Linked DNA regions of Stegostoma tigrinum. The protein of the gene in region 1 purifies or fractionates together with the protein of each later gene. This does not show direct contact. Links are inferred from orthologs where the notes say so. Each region holds a gene or a part of one and is shown on either strand. Other genes may lie near its edges.

Region 1 (7,683 bases):
AGGATGAGGAGAAGGTTCGGAAATAAATAGGGAGAGAGGGGGAGGCAGATCGAAGATGGATAGAGGAGAAGATAGGTAGAGAGGAGAGTATAGGTGGGGAGGGGATAGGTCAGTCCGGGGAGGACGGACAGGTCAAGGAAGTTAGTAGGTTGGAAATGGAGGTGCGACTTGAGGTGGGAGGAGGGGATGGGTGAGAGGAAGAACAGGTTAGGGAGGCGGGGATGAGCTGGGCTGGTTTTGGGATGCCGTGGGGGGAGGGGGGGGGTAGATTTTGAAGTTTGTGAAGTCCACATTCATACCATTGGGCTGCAGGGTTCCCAAGCGGAATAGGAGTTGCTGTTCCTGCAACCTTCGGGTGGCATCATTATGGCACTGCCTACACTGGCCCCAAACCCCACCTCTTTCTCCGTTACATTGATGACTGTATTGGCATCACCTCTTGCTCCCAAGAGGAGCTCGAACAGTTCATCCACTTCAACACCTTCCACCTCAACCTCAAGTTCACTTGGGCCATCTCCAACACATCCCTCACCTTCCTGGACCTCTCTATCTACATCTCAGACAACCAGCTCAAAACCGATGTCCATTTCATGCCCACCGACTCCCACAGCTACCTAGAACACACCTCCTCCCACCCACCCTCCTGCATAAATTCATCCCCTATTCTCAATTCCTTCGCCTCCGCCGCACCTGCTCCCAGGATGAGACATTCCACTCCCGAACATCCCAGATATCCACATTCTTCAAGGACCGCAACTTCCCACCCGCAGTGGTCGAGGACGCCCTCAACCGTATCTCCCGCATTTGCCGCAACACATCCCTCACAACCCACCCCCGCAATAACCGCCCAAAGAAAATCCCCCTAGTCATCACATACCACCCTACCAACCTCCAGATACAACGCATCATCTTCCAAATCTTCTGCCATCTACAATCCCACCCCACCACCCAAGACATTTTTCCATCCCCACCCTTGTCCGCCTTCCGAAGAGACCACTCTCTCCGGGACTCCCTTGTCCGCTCCACACTCCCCTCCAACCCCACCACACCCAGCACCTTCCCCTGCAACCGCACAAAGTCCTACACTTGCCCCCACACCTCCTACTTCACCCCCATCCCAGGCCCCAAGATGACTTTCCATATCAAGCAGATGTTCACCTGCACATCTGCCGATGTGGTATACTGCATCCACTGTACCCAATGTGGCTTCCTCTACATCAGGGAAACCAAGTGGAGGCTTGGGGACCGCTTTGCAGAACACCTCCACACAGTTCACAATAATCAATTGCACCTCCCAGTCGCAAACCATTGTAACTCCCCCTCCCATTCCCTAGATGACATGTCCATCATGGGCCTCCTAAAGTGCCATAATGTTGCCACCTGAAGGTTGCAGGAACAGCAACTCATATTCCGCTTGGAACCCTGCAGCCCAATGGTATCACTGTGGACTTCACAAGCATCAAAATCTCCCCTTCCCCCACTGCATCCCAAAACCAGCCCAGCTCGTTCCCACGTCCCTAACCTGTTCTTCCTCTCACCTATCCCCTCCTCCCAACTCAAGCCGCACCTCCATTTCCTACCTATTAACCTCATCCCACCTCTTTGACCTGTCCATCCTCCCCGGACTGACTTATCCCCTCCCCACCTATACTCTCCTCTCTACCTATCTTCTCCTCTATCCATCTTCGGTCTGCCTCCCCCTATTTATTTCCGAACCTTCTCCTCATCCTCCTCTCTGATGAAGGATCTAGGCCCGAAACGTCAGCTTTTGTGCTGCTGAGATGCTGCTTGGCCTGCTGTGTTCATCCAGCTTCACACTTTGTTGTCTCAAATTTATGCTCATTATGTGTGGCAGATAGCGAAACTTCACGGTGCTACTTCTCTCTGCTGGCATATCTAAGTCACTTATTTGAAATGCTGATATTAAAAACCTGGAGCTGACTCCAAGCACAGTTTTAACAGAAGTAAACTACCTAATCATGTCTTTGGCCTGCTGGGTTTCATCATAACTTCGACACAACCTCAGGCCACCCCTAGCTAAGTGACTATTCAAGAGAATTAAGTACTTGCATCCAATACAATATTGTGGGAAGCAGCGTGCGCGCGCGCAGAAGGGGAACCGCCAGAGAGGAATGAAATTGAAGATGAATAACAAGCTTCGTATGTCTAGCATTGGTAGCTCCAAGATTTTAATTAGGATCGGTCATACGCTACCTGATTTATAAAAAAACACAAGAATTATCAGGTAGAGACGACTTCCTGCCGAAGAAGGCCTGAGCTAGATCGCTGGATTAAAGAACTCCCAACGTGATATCCTTCATCGTCCATTTTTTTTCATAGAACTACAGAACGGTGAAAACATTTGAAAACCAATGCACACACATGCACCTGGGGTAGGGTATCTGATTGACAAGTAATCAGAACAAAACAGACTATAAGCCCTGGCCTTTCGATCCATCAAATTCGGTTCGAATTAGCAAAGGTCGGCTTTAAAATGAAGTGTAAAACAAAACAAGTAGCAGATATGGGAGCGCAAGTCAGCCCCATTAAAGCATCTTCTGCGTTCTCACTGAGGGAGGGGAAGCGATAAATGTGTAAAAATTCTTACTTTAACATTGCTTCTTCCTTCTGCTCCTCCTCCCGCTGCCTCTGCAGCACGGCCATAATGATGCTCCTCTCCTCCTCCGTCAAATGGCTCAGGTCCGGCAACTCGGCCGGCACGCCCGGCGGCCGAGGACTGCGGGGGCCGAGCGATGCTGACATTTTCACCGGAGTGCCAGTCCAGCGCCGTCCCCTGGGGACATGGGCAAGAAGAGGGACACGTACAGCCAGATCCTGGCTGCTTGTGGTCAGTGAGCAGCGGCTGTACGCCGAGACAGCGCCGCTTAACTCACCGCTCGTCGCTGAGCGCTCAGCATCGTCTGCAGAACAGCCGCGCCCTCGGTCACAGCACCACCTCCACAAGCTTTATTTCTCCACCATCCGCTCTAACTGCTGTTCAGCCCAGCTTCAGCTGCTCCGCCCCGCCACTGACGCAAGAAAGCGTATGGAAGGAAGGGGGTGGAATTTCTCAGTTTATGCCCGAGATCAGAGATGCTACAGAGGGGACCCAGAACAGAGGGTATTGAAGCGGAGTAGGAAAACACAGCGCATCCACTCCCATCACATTGGGAAAATTGCAACTCGGCAACAAGGGTCTTGTGTGGCGGTGGACATTCTCAATAAAGTAGAGACTGTGCTAAAGTTACTGGAGACATCAAACGTTCCCTCCCATCCCACTTTCAACTTAAACCACAACTTAACCCCGAGCTCCTCCACACCAGCTTGCTTTTTATTTGTTAAATATTTGTCTTGAATTTTAATTTCTACTTTTAAGTTGTTAATCCATTGAAATTTGCGAGCTTTTCAACACAACTGACACACTATGTTTGCATTTTCTCATACCAAATGCTTTTAAATCGCTAGATTTATCAAGAAGGATAATACCCAAAACGTTGCCTGCTCCTTTCCTCGAGCCGCTGCCTTGGCTTGCTGTGTTCTTCCAGCCTCCGGTTTGTATATCATTACCCTAAATGTGCGAGGTCCCGCTCCGTAACGTTTCCTTCCACCCCCCCTTCCTTCGTCTTGTTTCTACAGCCCTTCAATGCCTGCAGTTCAATGGTGTATATATAGTACTCATAAGTGTAGATCGAATACATTATGTCCCCTCAATACACCTTTTACATTGTTATACCATGTAGGCAATTTCAATTTGCACTCTAATTGATAGATAGATTAATAGTTGATTGCTCGTATCAATGTTTTGTGCACTACAATTTTGATCAACATGTTCCTTTAATATTTCCCCAGTGGAAATATTGTTTGTTATTTAAAATTCAAAGCAAATTTGAATATCCAGCTTAGCCCTACATACATACATTAAAATCTGGAACGAAAGTCGGCACTTCAAGAGCCTTGATATGATATAAATTAGATACAATAATTTTTCAGGGGATTATGTACAATCAAGATATGAATTTGGTCGTTTCAGCCTTGTAGCCCGAAGAGCAGTAAATAGGGTCCTTACAAACTTACATGAATTTCCCACTTCCCATTCAGTGGTATTGCATGGTGATTTCAAATATCTTTTGTTCAGTTATATAGAGTCAACATACAGTGATGTTTTGTAACTAACTGAAACTTGCAATTCATAAAAATTAAATGTGGAATGTTTATATATTATATATAAAAATTGAATGGTATTCTATTTGTGAGTTGATTATGGCTTCCTGACTTAGGAGTTATGACTGTTTTTAATACAATCATGCTTCTGTTAGTTCTCATCTCTTAGGTTTGCTGTGATTGAAATAAATCTCTCCTACAAGTACTCAATCTCAAAAAGACTTGAAAACGAAATAATGGAGTCCAAAATGACCAGTGCAGTGCTGTTACTTTGGAGGTGGTAGGATTTCTCCAATAAAATGCCTGGTGAAAAGAATGACTTATTATTTTCCCTTCTGAAATTAAATTGTTCAAATGCTATTTTCCTTATTGTGTAGAATCACTGAATTGGCGTTGCATCAACTTACTCTTGAAAAGTATTTGAATACATCACCTTTATTCATCACACTAATAGTTGCAGAGAAGGGGAGGAGTGGATTGGGAGGCAGATACTAGAAAGGTGCAGAAGTCACAGGATTGTAGTCATGGGTGATTTCAACTTTCGAAATACTGCTTGCAAACTTTTAGGTTGTAATAGTTTAGATGGAGCAGATTTTGTCCAGTGCGTATATGGAGGATTCCTGACACAGTATGTAGATAGACCAACATGAGGAGAGGCCACTTCAGATTTGGTGCTTGGCAATAAACCGGACTGAGTGTTAAACCTGTTGTTAGAAGAGCATTTTGGCGGCAGCGATCATATCTCTGTTACTTTTACAATAGCCATGGAAAAGAATAAGTACATACAGCAGGGTAAGGCTTATAATTGGGGAAAGGGTAATTATAATTCTGACAGGCAAGAACTGGGTAACATAAAAAAGGAACAGATGCTGTCAGGGAAGAGCACTATACAAATGTGGAGATTGTTTAAGGATTGCATACTGCGTGTGCATGACATGTTTGCCCCTAGCAAGCAGGGAAGATGTGGTCAAGTGAGAGAGCCTTGGTTCTCAAGAGAGGTCGAACGACTGGTTGAGAGGAAGAAGGTCTCAGGCTTAGCAAACAAGGATTGGAAACGGCTCTAGAGGGATACAAGTTGGCCAGGAAGGAGCTGAAGAAAAGGCTTACAAGATCTATTAAGGGTGCATGAAAAAACCTTGGCACATCTCCACTGGAGTCGTACCTGAGGACTGGAGAGAGGCAAATGTAATTCCTCTCTTCAAGAAAGGAAATAGGGAAATCCCCGGCAATTGTAGACCGGTAAGTCTCACGTCTGTCGTCTGCAAGGTGTTAGAAAGGATTCTGAAGGATAAGATTTATGACCATCTGGAAGAGCATGGCTTGATCAAATACAGTCAACACGGCTTTGTGAGGGGTAGGTCATGCCTTACAAACCTTATCGAGTTTTTTGAGGATGTGACTAGAAAAGTTGATGAGGGTCGAGCTGTGGATGTGGTGTATATGGACTTCAGTAAGGCATTTGATAAGGTTCCCCATGGTAGGCTCATTCAGAAGGTCAGGAGGAATGGGATACAGGGGAACTTAGCTGCTTGGATACAGAATTGGCTGGCCAACAGAAGACAGCGAGTGGTAGTAGAAGGAAAATATTCTGCCTGGAAGTCAGTGGTGAGTGGAGTTCCACAGGGCTCTGTCCTTGGGCCTCTACTGTTTGTAATTTTTATTAATGACTTGGATGAGGGGATTGAAGGATGGGTCAGCACGTTTGCAGACGACACAAAGGTCGGAGGTGTCGTTGACAGTGTAGAGGGCTGTTGTAGGCTGCAGCGGGACATTGACAGGATGCAGAGATGGGCTGAGAGGTGGCAGATGGAGTTCAACCTGGATAAATGCGAGGTGATGCATTTTGGAAGGTCGAATTTGAAAGCTGAGTACAGGATTAAGGATAGGATTCTTGGCAGCGTGGAGGAACAGAGGGATCTTGGTGTGCAGATACATAGATCCCTTAAAATGGCCACCCAAGTGGACAGGGTTGTTAAGAAAGCATATGGTGTTTTGGCTTTCATTAACAGGGGGATTGAGTTTAAGAGTCGTGAGATCTTGTTGCAGCTCTATAAAACTTTGGTTAGACCGCACTTGGAATACTGCGTCCAGTTCTGGGCGCCCTATTATAGGAAAGATGTGGATGCTTTGGAGAGGGTTCAGAGGAGGTTTACCAGGATGCTGCCTGGACTGGAGGGCTTATCTTATGAAGAGAGGTTGACTGAGCTCGGTCTCTTTTCATTGGAGAAAAGGAGGAGGAGAGGGGACCTAATTGAGGTATACAAGATAATGAGAGGCATAGATAGAGTTGATAGCCAGAGACTATTTCCCAGGGCAGAAATGGCTAGCACGAGGGGTCATAGTTTTAAGCTGGTTGGTGGAAAGTATAGAGGGGATGTCAGAGGCAGGTTCTTTATGCAGAGAGTTGTGAGAGCATGGAATGCGTTGCCAGCAGCAGTTGTGGAAGCAAGGTCATTGGGGTCATTTAAGAGACTGCTGGACATGTATATGGTCATAGAAATTTGAGGGTGCATCCATGAGGATCAATGGTCGGCACAACATTGTGGGCTGAAGGGCCTGTTCTGTGCTGTACTGTTCTATGTTCTATGTTCTATAGGATCAAGGAAAACCCCAAGGCTTTTTACATATACATGAGGAATAAGAGAATGACCAAAGAAAGTGTAGGGTTGATCAACGATTGTAAAGGGAATTTGTGCACAGAGGCTAAAGAGATAGGAGAGATCTTAATGAATACTTTTCTTTGGCATTCACAACTGAGAGGTATCAAGTTGTAGGAAAGGACAGTGTTAAACAGGCTGGTAGGCTAGAGGAGGTGGATGTTAGTAAGGAAGGTGTACTAGGAATTTTGAGGAACTTGAAGATAGATAAGTCCCCCATGCCTAATAGGGTTTATCCAAGGATTCTATGGAAAGCGAAGGAAGAGATCGCACGGCCTTTGGTTATGATCTTTTCATCCTCACTGTCCACGGGTATGGCTCCGGAAAATTGGAGAGTGGAAAACATCATTTCCTTCTTCAAAAAAGGGAATAGGGTTAACCCCAGAAATTACAGGCCAGTTAGTCTTACTTCAGTGGTGGGCAAATTATTGGAAAGGGCTCTGAGAGATAGGATTTATGATCACTTGGATAGGCATAGTTTGATTCGTGATGGTCAACATGCATTTGAGGGGGGTAGATCGTGCCTCACAAACCTTATTGAATTCTTTGAAGAGGTGACCAAACACATGGATAAAGGTAGAGCAGTGGATGTGATGTACATGGATTTAAGTAAGGTGTTTGATAAGGTTCCCCAAGGTAAGCTCATGCAGTAAGTAAGGAGGCATGGGATAAGGGAAATGTGGCAGATTGGATTCAGGATTGGCTGACCCTTAGAAGACAAAAGGTGGTAGTGGACTGAAAATATTCAACTTGGTGCTCAGTTACGTGTGGTGTACCACAAGGTCTGGGTCCTCTTCTATTTGTGATTTTTGTAAATGATTTGGATGTAGGAGTGGAAGGGTAGATTAGTAAGTTCGCAGACAAT
Region 2 (7,175 bases), on another chromosome or scaffold:
ACTTAACCAACAATCTGGGATACAAGTTTTAAAAACACATCCAAAATAAATGGATATCAGCCATTCATCCATGAGAAGCAGGTAAAAACATACAGTGAACAAAAATACTTGACTTACTATATGTAGCATTAAAAATGTAAGGCAACACACACTTAGTTTGCTCTAAAGTCTCCCACTTTGGTCACTTATTTCTTCCTAAATCACCGTAAATATTCCTCTACCATTTGTTATTTCTATAGGAGTTGATAACATGCTCCTTGGCCTCCATCATGCCATTTTAGGCAATTCAGCCTAAAGGGTTTGTCCTCTTTCACTGTGAAAAATACTTGCAGCTTCATTTCAAGATTTCTCATGAACAATACATCCCAATTCAGATCACTGTGCAAATAAAAGTTACATGCGCAAATTTCCACAGTACAATGTGATTACAGTAGACATTACCTGTATTCACCTCAAAATATTTCTGTAACGTCAGTGAATTTGTCATAAAACATTTTCATACATCAGAGTCATACAGCATGGAAACAGACCCTTTGGTCCAAAGTCCACTCCAACCATAATCCCAAAACAAACATGTCCCACCTGCCTGCACTTACCCATTTCCCTCCACACATTTCTTACTCATGTACTTAACCAAATGTCCTGTAAAAGTTGTAACTGTACCCACCTCGACCGCCACCTCTGGCAGCTCATTCCCTCACCCTCTGCATAAAAAAGTCCCACTCAGTTCCTTTTTAAAATCTTTCCCTTCTCACCTCAAACCTATGCTTTCTAATTTTCAATTCCCCCTACCCTGTGGAAAAGACCTTGGCTACTCACTCTATCCATACCCCTCAATTTTATAAACCGCTAAGGTCACCGTCAGCCTCCAACAATCTGGGGGAAAAAACTGAGCCTCTTAAGCCTTTCCCAAAAAGGGAAACCCTGCAATCCTGGCAACATCTGATTGTGTTGATAATCAGTAATATTGGTTAGAGTTGCAAAGTTTACTGACAAGAGGTTCTATCATTAATTTTATATATTTCTTTGCTTTTTTAAAAAATAAAAAGTAACTTTTTTATACATTGTAGTATTTTGTCCTTTAAAAAGGACTTCAAATTCCATGGCAAAAGGTGTCAACTCACCAATGCAATTTTCAAGAACAATATGTCAGGCTGTGACAGCACTGCATGCCATGTTGCCTTGGTTACAGATAGATGTAGAGTTGTGTTAGATTATGCATTCTTTTTCATTTTGTGATTTTTCGGCTTAAAAGAAAATGATGGGATATTGATTTGTTTTCCCCCTTTTGCTCGCCTATCCAAAATTAACTATTTCAATATCAGGTTACAATCACTTAGATACAAGTTATTTAGCATGGGACCTAGTCCCACTGTTCCACCTCTAGCATCCTAAGGTTTCCACTGAGTACAATTAGCACAGGTTGTAGGTTGTAGGTTGTGAACACGTGAGTACAGACAACAATAGAATTGATCAAATGAAAAGCAATAAAAGCCTGAAAATATAAAGAGAGATTTCTATTTTACCTACCACAAATGGATTCAAATCCAGATCCCAGCACATGAAAAAACTGCACGCAATCATGACAACGCAAATAACCTTACTTTCAAGTGGTTTTGGTATCAACATTTCTAAGGTACCACACTTGCAGCATTGTGTAGCACACAATAATGCTGTGGACTACTAATGCCAACAGGTTTCACAATTGAAACTGAAACCATTTCTACCAGTCCTTAGGCTGTTTGAAAGCATTTTTTTTTAAAAGGAGACATTTTCAGAGAATTACAATTCAAATTATTTGTATGCAACCAATGAGTGATTTGATGCAATGCCTCTTAGAGACTACCAACCATAGTTCTAGCATCACAAGATTTTCACACGCCAGTGAAACACTCAAAAATAGACCTGAAATATTTCAAAGCAAAACAGCGACTACCTTATACAAAAGGAAACTCATTTGATTTGACATGTCATATGCCCAAAGGCATGTTTGAAATAATTCAAGTATCGATTGTATGGAAAATAACAGTTCATAAAACGTTGCTACAGGAAAAATCTTCAATGGGTTAAAGACCAATATTGTCTGCAATGTCCCTTTTTTTCAAATCTCCCCAAAAAACAGACGGCTCGCCTGAAACCGAAATTACAGCCAAACTTAACACGGTCCAACCCCGATCTCGTTGACTGGCCAAAACAATTCGAGATTTCTAAATTTTAACTTGCTGAATTCACTATGAGATGTCAATCTGAATATCCCCCACCATCCACTTTACTAGGTTAAGCAAAGGCAGCAGATTCTACAGACTGTAGATGGAGAGGGCTGTGCCCAGGAAACCGCCTAGAAATCAATACCTTCATTAAACCTTAGTTACTTTTAAGCAAATGCGATGTTTTTTTGTCTCAAAAGCAAACAAGCAGCAAAAAAAAATTTAATAACGGCGATCCCAGAAACATTAAAGACACCGTTCTGTCTAACCATTTATTCTGACAATGGGCGTTTGCTGTACTCATTTTGGCTCAGTATTGCATTCACAGTATGTCTAATATAAATGGCATTTCGAGGCCTTCTGCTGAAAAAAAATACGGACTGAAACGCTGGTGAATTTATATTTAAAGCACAGAAAATGTCACGTTTCCGCTGCCTTTATTTACAAAAGACGTCTCGCCTTCCCCTTGTAGCTGCAATAATGAAAGCCAGTCGCTCACCTCCAATCAATGCATCTGTCTCCTCACATTACACACCAAACACAAAATATTAAACCCCCTTCAGCTATGTGCCACATCAGGATTCTGCTGCTTAAGACAGACCCGGCAATAGCCGCATTGAACCCGAATGCGGTGATCCCCTTGACACTTTGCCGGGGGGGGGGGGGGGGGGGGTGTGGAAACCGAGCACAAAATAAAAACCGGGTTTTTTTTTTACCTCGGGAATCCCTCCTCACTCCTTCACCATTCAGCTTATCCCAGCCAGGCTTGACTTAACATTCCCAGCATTCTACACCTTCTCTACAATTGGCTGGAACCACACCATTCAGCCAGGAAATTTAAAGACACAGTCACACTTCTGGATTCCGACCTTAAGCTTTTTTTCCTCCGTTTATTTTTACTACAACCATTTACGTTGTATGTTACTAGTTGTACTCGTAGTTTTTGTGACGGCTACACTTCTGATTCAGAGCTGATTAACAGTAATAATTGACAAATCATTACTACCTATTCGTTTCACAATCGCATGTTATCTCCACTGGCTACAGTCGCCTTTTATTCTCCTTGGTTGAAGTTTTGTCACAGTTAGAGGGCGTGGGCTGGAATTATGAAATGGCAACGCTACCGTAATACATTCCGCCCTACACTTTACTTCTACTATCCAAAAACAAATGAAAAAAAATAGAAGTTGCTGGAATAGCTCGATAAGTTTGCAGCATCTGGGTTTTCAGGATGGGTCACTCGACCCGAAATGTTAACTCTGATTTCTCTCCGCAGATACTGCCAAACCAACCGAGCTTTTCCAGCAATTTCTATCCTTGTCTCAGATTTACTGCATCCGCAGTTCTTTCGGTTTTTGAAAAAAAACTTTGCTGCTTAATTTTAATCACCTATTTTACCACCTCTCTTTACTCCTGGAAAAGCACATTACCCTAATGAATGGGAAGATGTATTTGAATGCTGTCACGACAGAAGTTTTCTTTGCTTTCCCTCCTTTCAGCACCCACCATCATGTTATTTGCTAAATTGCCCAGGTTATTAGAAACTTCAGCAGGTTATCTTCCTGCCTTTTTGAGAGTCACCCTCGGCCCAGGTAAAGGTCTCACGCTCAGTGGTAGGACCTACAGGCAACAATGCGGTCAGTATATATTTTGGTTCAAGGTCCAAAGACTCGAGGGAGAATGGCTACTCACAGGTAGAAGATCAGGATGAGGTCACGTTTCCTGAAACGCATACCTGGATTCATGAAACACTCCTCCTCTTGTCATAATGATCATTCAAATTGAAGGGGGATTAAATTGAAAGGGGAAGACTCTTACAAGAGGCCAAAGAGGAAAGAGAGAGGTGTGACAAAATTAGCAAGCGTCCTGTCCTGGGACAGATCACAACCACTCCTACTATTGCCATAGTAGATGAGTGAGAATGGAGCGGCTACTGTTCTAATGTATGTATGGCAGAATGCCAAAAGCAAAACAGGTTGAGTAGCACTGATTTGCTTTTCGATCACATGGATGTCTGATACAAACACCGGGCATAAAAATGTAAAAGCTACTGTGAAATATTGACAGAGATAGTAGGAACTGCAGATGTTGGAAAATCTGAGATAACAAGGTGTAGAGCTGGATGACCACAGCAGGCCAAGCAGCATCAGAAGAGCAGGAAGGCTGATGGTTCGACCCTTCTTCAGAAATGGAGAAATACTGACAGATATATCGGACAGAAATACCAACAGGTGGCACAGTGGCTCAGTGGTTAGCACTGCAGCCTCCCAGTGCCAGGGACCCAGATTCGATTCTAGCCTTGGGCAACTGTCTGTGTGGAGTTTGCACATTCTCCCCATGTCTGCGTGGGTTTCCTCCAGCTGCTCCGGTTTCCTCCCACAGTCCAAAGATGTGCAGGCTATGTGGATTGGCCACACAAAATTGTCCATTGTGTGGGTTATAGGGGGATGGGTCTGGGTGGGATGCTTCAAGGGGCAGTGTGGACTTGTTGGGCTGAAAGGCCTGCCCCCATGCTGTAGGAATTCTAATCTAATATGTTTGCAAATAGATTGTGGGTTTAGAGCATACTCCAGGACCTTAGTGCATTATCCAGACTGAAGCTGTTGGATCTACCATCCTGTGGCAGACATTTTATTGAGGAACTGTCTTCTCTTTAGGTGGATGGTAAAGTTCGCGAAGTGTTTTTTTTCCCTTATAAAATGAGTCCCAGTGATGCTGGCCAACATTTTTCAAACAGCATAATTTTTTTTCCAAGTAGTCATTCATCTCCCTGTTCCTTCTGACATGTGGTGATGTGAAAAATGACTGCTATGATACTGACAAAAGTAAGTAACTAAATTTTATAGAGAGGGATTAGGATGCCCTAAATTAATAGAAATGGTCCTTCAAATAACTCCACAAAGGCCAGTATCCCATCGCCAAGTCACCCTTTACTTACATGTGCATTGTACATGACACTTACCCAACAAGCATAGAACTGGCTGCCAGCGTGAACAGAACCCTTGATGCACTTGTTTATATTTATCGGCTAGAATTTCCTATTGGACCAGGTTAACAGCCCCAATCGGGGAACTCATATTCTGTGAGGTCCACCTGGCTGACCTTGCTCCAGTCACAACATCCCTGTCCATCTAAGGCCTAGGACATAGGCACCCTTTTCTTCCAGCAGTTTCTTCTGGAGTGTTTTTGCACCAGGTCCAGTTCCTCTGAATCTGACATGAGCAACATGTACTGGACCGTAGCCCCCTTCTTGTGCCTGGAGCATTTCATCTGAAATTCATCTTCAGGCAGTAATGGCTTCAAGGCTGTGACCTCGGCCATGTCCATCTCATCATCAGCGGTTCCTTTGACGTTAGCAGAGGGGGAGAACCCACAGTTCTGACAGACTTGCTGGATATTCTGAGAAACTGGGTATGTTTTGCTCCTGAGATGGTAGGAACTGCAGATGCTGGAGAATCTGAGATAACAAGATGTAGAGCTGGATGAACACAGCAGGCCAAGCAGTATCAGAGGAGCAGGAAGGCTGACATCATCATTAGCCAAACTCGTCCTCACCCTCAACAAATTCTCTTTCAATTCATCCCACTTCCTACAGACAAAGGGGGTGGCCATGGGTACCCGCATGGGCACAAGCTATGCCTGCCTCTTAGGATACGTGGAACAATCCCTCTTCCGAAGGTACACTGGCCCTATTCCACACCTCTTCCTCCGTTACATTGATGACTGATGATTGGCACCACCCCGTGCTCCCACGAGAAGCTTGAACAGTTCATTCACTTCACCAACACCTTCCACTGCAATCTTAAGTTCACCTGGACCATTTCTAATACCTCTCTCTCCTTCCTGGACCTCTCTGTTTCCATCTCTGGCAACCACCTAGAAAACGATATCCATTTCAAGCCCACTGACTCCCACAGCTACCCAGAATACACCTCCTCCCAACCACCTTCCTGCAAAAATGCCATCTCCTATTTCCAACTCCTTCCCTTTGCCACATCTGCTCCCAAGATGAGGCATTCCACTCCTGTACATCTCAGATATCCTCGTTTTTCAAGGACAGCAACTTGCCCCTTCAGTGGTCGAGAACACCCTCGACCGTGTCTCCTGCATTGCCCGCAACTCATCCTTCACATCCCCTCCCCTCAATAACAACCAAAACAGAATCCCTGTCATCCTCACATACCACCTCACCAACCTCCGGAATCAACGCATCATCCACTGACATTTGTGCCATCTGCAATCCAACCCTGCCAAAGAGATTTTTCCCTCCCTACCCTTGTATGCTTTCCGAAGAGACCACTCTCTCCGTGACTCCCTTGTCTGCTCCACACTCCCCTCCAGCCCCGCCACACCAGGCACTTTTCCCTGAACATCTGCTGATGTGGTAGACTGCATCCACTGTTCCCATTGTGGCCTCCTCTACATCGGGGAAACCAAGCAGAAGCTTTGGGACCGCTTTGCTGAACACGTACGCTCAGTTCATACTAAACAACTGCATCTCTCAGTCGCAAACCATTTCAACTCCCCCTCCCATTCCTCAGACAACATGTCCATCCTGGGGCTCCTGCAGTGCCACAACGATGCCACCCGAAGGTTGCAGGAACAGCAACTCATACTCCGCTTGGGAACCCTATAGCCCAATGGTATCAATGTGGACCACAAGCTTCAAGATTTCCCCTCCCCCTACCGCATCCCAAGATCAGCCCAGCTCGTCTCCGCCTCCCTAACCTGTCCTTTCTCCCACCTATCCCTCCTCCCACCTTGAGTCCCATGCCCATCTCCTACCTATCAGCCTCATCCCGCCCCCTTGACCTGTCTGTCTTCCCTCGACTGAACTATCTCCTCCCTAACTCCCCACCTACACTCATTTTTACTGGCTCTATCCCCACCTCTTTGACCTGTCTGTCTCCTCTCCACCTATCTTCGCCTCTATCCATCTTCTATCTGCCCTCTCCTCCCTATTTATTT

Evidence for each region.
Region 2: the proteins of regulating synaptic membrane exocytosis protein 1-like (region 1) and ERC protein 2 purify together in Homo sapiens (affinity purification with western blotting; 3 studies listed by BioGRID and IntAct, with this or other methods). This does not show direct contact. The link is inferred for Stegostoma tigrinum from reciprocal best matches to the Homo sapiens genes RIMS1 and ERC2.

What each region holds. Positions count from the first base shown.
Region 1 is NC_081357.1:82,286,994-82,294,676, forward strand, and holds the start of regulating synaptic membrane exocytosis protein 1-like, read right to left. Parts: upstream 3,014-7,683; 5' UTR 2,764-3,013; coding exon 2,609-2,763; intron 1-2,608. UniProt on the Homo sapiens protein: Rab effector involved in exocytosis. May act as scaffold protein that regulates neurotransmitter release at the active zone.
Region 2 is NC_081364.1:32,337,959-32,345,133, forward strand, and holds the start of ERC protein 2, read right to left. Parts: upstream 3,004-7,175; 5' UTR 2,924-3,003; intron 2,814-2,923; exon of another isoform or gene 2,707-2,813; intron 1-2,706. UniProt on the Homo sapiens protein: Thought to be involved in the organization of the cytomatrix at the nerve terminals active zone (CAZ) which regulates neurotransmitter release. Seems to act together with BSN. May recruit liprin-alpha proteins to the CAZ.